Linked DNA regions of Mus musculus: region 2 is reported to be linked to region 1. Evidence: microRNA targets listed by miRTarBase, many of them from high-throughput screens and not tested one by one. Region 1 holds a microRNA gene; the other region holds the end of a gene's coding sequence.

Evidence for each region. Region 1 holds the annotated microRNA mmu-miR-208a-3p (AUAAGACGAGCAAAAAGCUUGU, at 2,127-2,148, shown strand). A microRNA usually pairs through its seed, bases 2 to 8, with sites in the 3' UTR of a target mRNA and lowers its output. Matches are read on the target gene's strand: a 7mer-m8 pairs with bases 2 to 8, a 7mer-A1 pairs with bases 2 to 7 and ends in A, and an 8mer does both.
Region 2: miRTarBase lists Cramp1l as a target of mmu-miR-208a-3p. The part of its 3' UTR that is shown has no 7-base or 8-base seed match.

Annotation. Positions count from the first base shown.
Region 1 is chr14:54,947,702-54,951,219 of GRCm38, reverse strand. Mir208a (microRNA 208a) reads left to right here and starts at 2,078; the gene lies at 2,078-2,160. It overlaps Myh6 (myosin, heavy polypeptide 6, cardiac muscle, alpha), which reads left to right. Exons shown (of 39, transcript NM_001164171.1): 26 at 567-956; 27 at 1,042-1,168; 28 at 1,257-1,375; 29 at 1,686-1,882; 30 at 2,425-2,608; 31 at 2,763-2,928; 32 at 3,015-3,139. It overlaps Gm52092 (a long non-coding RNA gene), which reads right to left and starts at 180. Exons shown (of 3, transcript XR_003950992.1): 1 at 1-180.
Region 2 is chr17:24,962,300-24,965,299 of GRCm38, reverse strand. Cramp1l (cramped chromatin regulator homolog 1) reads left to right here. Exons shown (of 21, transcript NM_020608.3): 21 at 354-3,000. The coding sequence ends at 518. Among named protein-coding and RNA genes, the nearest start is that of Jpt2, 3.2 kb to the right of the region's middle.

The sequences.
Region 1 (3,518 bases):
CTAAGGAATCCATGACATGGGGAATCTAGGTGATTAGACCTCATGGTTAGCTCAGATAATTGCAGTAGGATTTGGTTGTTCTTGAGGCAGCTTTGCTACAAATGTTAGTTTAAAAAAACAAAAAACAAAAAAAAAACCAAAAAAACAAAAAAACAAACAAAAAAAACCGAGTGCTCATTTCCTTGCCTTATAGTCAGTGGATCAGAGTCAGGTGAAACTGTTGGCTGTCTGAGGTTCATAATCTCAGGAGATCTCAGGATCCCGCTCCAAACACAGATGCTCAACACTTAGGCTGCAGATGCTCAAACTGAATCTCAGATGCTTTAGGGAAATCCTCCAAACTTTGGCTTCGGCCAATTTTCTATTCTAGGGTGTTTAGCAATGTCCCTTGCTTCTATAGCATCCTCCACACAGTTTAAAATGTCTCCAGCCATCACCAGCTATACCTAGTAGCTGAAAACCCGTGCTAGAGGTTTAGTGCGCATGGGAGCCTTTTAGAGCCCTGGAGCACGGGCCTCAAGGGAGGGGTCCAGGAAGCAGGTCTGATCCTTTGTATCCCTGGCTAGGCACGCATCGAGGAGCTGGAGGAGGAGCTGGAGGCAGAGCGCACAGCCCGGGCTAAGGTGGAGAAGCTGCGCTCTGACCTGTCCCGGGAGCTGGAGGAGATCAGTGAGAGGCTGGAGGAGGCAGGCGGGGCCACATCCGTGCAGATAGAGATGAATAAGAAGCGCGAGGCCGAGTTCCAGAAGATGCGGCGGGACCTGGAGGAGGCCACGCTGCAGCACGAGGCCACGGCGGCGGCCCTGCGCAAGAAGCATGCTGACAGCGTGGCGGAGCTGGGCGAGCAGATCGACAACCTCCAGCGGGTGAAGCAGAAGCTGGAGAAAGAGAAGAGCGAGTTCAAGCTGGAGCTGGATGACGTCACCTCCAACATGGAGCAGATCATCAAGGCCAAGGTGGGCCCTCTCAGCAGCTCCCCTCCTCCCTGCCAGTCGTGGCCCTTTCCACATTCACCTTTCCTCTGCTCATTAATGCCTGCAGGCCAACCTGGAGAAAGTGTCCCGGACACTGGAGGACCAGGCCAATGAGTACCGCGTGAAGCTGGAAGAAGCCCAGCGCTCCCTCAATGACTTCACCACACAGCGAGCCAAGCTGCAGACAGAGAACGGTGGGTGCCCCTTACCGTCCCCTAGCCTGCCCCTGGTAGCTTTGGTTTCCCCCTTCCATGGCCCAAGAACCCTTCATTCCACCTGCAGGGGAGTTGGCTAGGCAACTGGAAGAAAAGGAGGCATTGATTTCCCAGCTGACCCGAGGCAAGCTCTCCTACACCCAGCAGATGGAGGACCTCAAGAGGCAACTGGAGGAGGAAGGCAAGGTGAGGCCCATATAATGGCAGTGGGACAGACTCCGTGGCATCACTGGACACACTGTTACCTCCAAGAGTGCACCTGGATGCCAGAGGTAACCTGGTAACCTATCTCCCTACTAAATGGTCAGCCCTCCTGATCATTTAATGACTCCTTATTGGTAAAGGAGAGAGGTAGGCAAATGGAAATCACTCAAAGACATTGAGACTCCACTTCATGTGGGTGAATCTGGGTCTTGACTGAAGTAAATACGCATAAGAATCTAGAGACTGGAGGGTTGGGTTTGCTCCAATCTCCTTGATGCCCACCTCTTCCCAGGCCAAGAACGCCCTGGCCCACGCACTGCAATCATCCCGGCATGACTGTGACCTGCTGAGGGAACAGTATGAAGAAGAAATGGAGGCCAAGGCTGAGCTACAGCGTGTCCTGTCCAAGGCCAACTCAGAGGTGGCCCAGTGGAGGACCAAGTATGAGACGGATGCCATACAGAGGACGGAGGAGCTGGAGGAAGCCAAGTGAGTCCACTGTGGCTGCCCCTGGATTTGCCAAGAGAATGGAGCAGAGCGTCTGCTGTGGAGACAGGCAGAGTAGATGCAGGAAAGAGCTTTGGGGTGGGAGAACAGAGGATGGGGAGACCTGGTGAGCCATGGGAGTGTTTGGTAGAAAGCCTGAGTCCTGCAACCTGTAACGCCTGGCTGGCCCTTGCTTACTTCCTTTGACGGGTGAGCTTTTGGCCCGGGTTATACCTGACACTCACGTATAAGACGAGCAAAAAGCTTGTTGGTCAGAGGAGCTATCATCATGCAGCCTGGGCCTGAGGGAAGCGGGTGGGGGTGCACAGTCACACAGATGTGATGTATGTGTGGGAGAGTCTGAGCAGCCTGTGATGGACGTCTCTGTTCTAGGCTCCAGTAGCCCTCACATCCTCTAGGCTGGGGTTCCAACATCTTAGGGAACTGTGGGGAGAAGCTGGGTCTTTCCCATCAACACTCGGAAGGAGGAGATCATCTCACGTCCTTGTGGCTCCAAGTACAGTCACATACATTCCCCTGGACAGGAAGAAGCTGGCTCAGAGGCTGCAGGATGCAGAGGAGGCAGTGGAGGCCGTCAACGCCAAGTGTTCCTCCCTGGAGAAGACCAAGCACAGGCTGCAGAATGAGATCGAGGACCTGATGGTGGACGTGGAGCGCTCCAATGCCGCCGCCGCAGCCCTGGACAAGAAGCAGAGGAACTTTGACAAGGTAGGCTCACGGTGGGGCTGCAGACACTGTGCATGCTGCTGGTGGGGTCAGTGCCAGCTCAAGGCCACAGCATGTTCCTTGGAGGTGGGGGAGGAGGGCTGAGTCAGGAGAGGGGCCTGGGCAGTTCTGGTCACAGGGCGCTCCTTCCCTGCAGATCCTGGCTGAGTGGAAGCAGAAGTATGAGGAGTCGCAGTCAGAGCTGGAGTCTTCCCAGAAGGAGGCGCGCTCCCTGAGCACAGAGCTCTTCAAGCTCAAGAACGCCTATGAGGAGTCTCTGGAGCACCTGGAGACCTTCAAGCGGGAGAACAAGAACCTCCAGGGTGGGCGAGCTGGGGGACAGGGAAGAGCCTCAGGGAAAGGGAAGTGGGGCAAGGCATATTGATCTTTCTGGTCCTCTGATCCTCAGAGGAGATCTCAGACCTGACTGAACAGCTGGGAGAAGGGGGGAAAAACGTGCACGAGCTGGAGAAGATCCGCAAACAGCTGGAGGTGGAGAAGCTGGAGCTGCAGTCAGCCCTGGAGGAGGCTGAGGTAAGGGCCTAACTAGGCACTCTCCAGCCTGTCCTGCTGTATCCTGTCTTACCGCCTCACAGAAGTCACCCTGACCCCAGGACACAAATCTATTGGCTCCCATTCTTAGTAGACAGTCACCATGGGTATTCTTAGATACCCAGGAACAATGACTTCCCCCAAAGTTGAGTTCCTCACATTGTACAATGCCACAGTCTGGTTTGTAGGACAGAAGGCTTGCTTGCTTCCTGGCTGGAATCGGGCTATCATAATATCAGCTCAAACCACTGGGTAGGAACACAGGCTCCAGGGTCAAATGACCTAGGTTTGAACCCTGTCTTGAGACCCTCTGTGTGCCTTGCTGCCCTCATCTATAAGATGGAATTAATGTATAAACCTC
Region 2 (3,000 bases), not on the chromosome of region 1:
GTGTGAGGCCCTGATGCTTTAGGGACCCTCATTAACTGTTGTTTGCTTTGATCTCTGCCTTCTCTTGTCACTGTTGGCCCTTCTGTGACTCTCTTCCTCATGAGTATCAGATGGAGTTGCTGCTACTATATTCTCAGTATCGAGGTGTTTCATGTTCTCAGAGGCTTTCCCAGGGGCTTGTGCAGAGTATGTTCTTACAAAAAAGTTCATGTGGTTAGACCACAAAGGATTCCAAAATTCCTCATAGAGCAGTTGGCTCCTTCCACTGACATTCTGCTCTGGGGGTCAAGAGCCTCTCTCTGGATGGTAAGCCGTCCTCAGACTAATGTCTCCTTGTCCCTTCTGTCCTACAGGTGGTGGATTCCCAGTTGGTGTGCATGATGAACGAGAACAGCATTGACTACATATCTCGGTTTAATGACCTGGCCCAAGAATTGTCCATCACTGAGCCTGGCCGCCGGGAGGTTCTTTTTGATGGTGGAGGAGGTGGTAATCCTGTTGGTGACCTCTCTCAGTGACTATGCTTTGTGACACGGGCATCGTGGAATCCACAAAGGAGGTCTACGGAGCTGGTCCCATGAATCTGTCTGCACAGTAGAGAAAGTCAAGCCCAGAATCCTGAGAAGACAGTGAACAGGAGCACCTCTAACAGCATAACAATATCCACATGCAAAGGACAGCCTGTGCAACAAGTAGGGGTTGTACCATCCACAGAAGCCAGGACAGCTGACCCGAGAAGGGTAGACCTCAGAAATCCTTTTGGTATCAGAGCCCTTGAAGTCCTGTAGCCTGTGTGGCGTCCTGACTGTATGTCTGTCTGTGTGTTGAGCCTTCCAGGGGGTCTCCTCCTTGCAAGAGGAGTTCATTTGCCTGGTGTTCATTTTGTCTTTGGAGCTGTTATCCATGCGAAGGGAGGCCATAGCCACTGCTGCTTTCTTTCTGATATCTTTTTTCCACTTGGCTGTTCTGTCTGCAGTGATGTTGCAAGGGACTGTGAGTATAGTCCAGTCTATTGCCTGGTGGTATCTTCAACCTAAGATACTTCCTGGTTGCCTTGACCATGAAGCAGAGAAGGGTCCCAGAGCCATGTAGATAATGGTATCTTCCCAAGACTACTTAGCCCTCAACTAGTGCTTCCTACCCAAACCATCCAGAGGTGTGGTTCTGCCTGGCATGAGGAAGGGGGAAGAAATTTTGTTTCTTGGAGCTTGTATGGATGTTTTGTATGGTCTTTCAAAGCTGGTTGGGAATGGCTTTCTTGCGGTTTAAGAATTGAGAGATATGGACAAGGAATAGTAAGAGTCCTTTATTTAGGTGGCTCTGCTTTCTACCTATGCTTAATGCCTAGTTCCTTCTCTCTCTCTCTCTCTCTCTCTCTCTCTTTCTTTCTTTCTTTCTTTTTTTTTTTTGGTTTTTTGAGGCAGGGTTTCTCTGTGTAGTCCTGGCTGTCCTGGAACTCACTTTGTAGACCAGGCTGGCCTTGAACTCAGAAACCCGCCTGCCTGTGCCTCCCAAGTGCTGGGATTAATGTTGTGCGCCACCACTGCCCAGCCTAGTTCCTTCTAAGTGATCTGAGATACCATTTCTCTCTAATGGCCTGACCCTACCCCAACCCCCAAATGCACTGCAATGTCTACAGATTTTATCCACACTTAAAATTTCATGTGTTATTGCTGGTATCTGAGGGGTGTCTTTGCCCCAGGCTATCTCTCTTCCTATTCTGGGACCCAAGCCAGGTTTAGATGTCAGGGTGTAGGAAGAGCTCACAGCTTGATGATGTTTTAGCAGCCCTCTTCAGGAGCCCAGAGGTGGTCAGTCAGTTGTCATGCTCAGGCCATCGGACTCAGAGTGGTGCCAAAAATACTTCCATTCCCCTTCTTTGCCCTTTAGTAGATTCTTGTAACATGGTCACTCTTGCTGGACCTAGCATATCAGGTAGCCATGGCTATTTCTTGTTGAACAGGTGACCCCTGTGCTAGCCACGTCACTGCTCACTCTCCACATGCTAGCCAGGGCTGACACCCCTCCCACCCCACCCCACCCCACTCCACCCCCTTTCCTTTTTCTTCTGAGACAGGGTTTCTCTGTATAACCCTGCTATCCTATAACTTGATTTATAGACTGAGTTGGCTGGAGATCTACCTGCCTCTACCTCCTGAGTGCTGGGCTGAAAGTAATGTGCTACCACACCAAGCTTGGCAGGTCCTTGTAACTCCTAAAGCTGCCACCTCTGTTTTCCAGCTGTTCTAGCCTCCTTCCTTGCACAGTAGTACTTAAGATCATCCTAGGCCCTTACGTCTCTCTGTCTGCAATGAAGAAAGGGATGGGAATGTCCTTTTGGGACACTTGATCCAGTTGCCTCTCTGGCTACTACAAACCCTAGAGTGCAGGCTCTGCTCCAAAGACCGTATAGGGCTCTGGTACTGGTGAAGGATCTGTCCCAGATGCTGACATGCAGACCCCACATCTGGTAAGAGTCAGACTGTTAGATGAGAAGCGCAAGCATATGGTGCCGTCAAGAGACTGTGGTAAGGTAGCCAATGTGTCTCTACCCAGTTGTGTGCTTTCAGCAATGCCTTACTTAGCTGAAGGCATTTAGATCTTGGGACTGTAGCCTGTACCAGGCTAGGCTCAGGCCACTGCTAGCTGCTCTTCCTGTGTTTCAGGTAGACTCTCCCACAACATTAATAAGCATGGGTGCTTGTAGAATCCTGGTAACTGCGCATGTAGAACTAGGTAGTTGGGCTCTTAAGCTGGTTTCCATGAGGCAGTGAATGCTGTAGGCACATGTTAGTCTGTGCCGGCTAAAAGGAGTTGAGACGTCTTGAGGAGCAGAGACTACAGCCCTTGTCTCCCAGTAGCAAGCGGCATCAGATGGACTGGTGCGTTACTGTAAGGAAGCTGACAAGATTCCAGAAGGTTCTTCACCAGCCATACTGGTTTGCTCATCATCGCCACATTAAAGGACAAATGGTGGCATTTGTAGCAGAGAATCAGTGG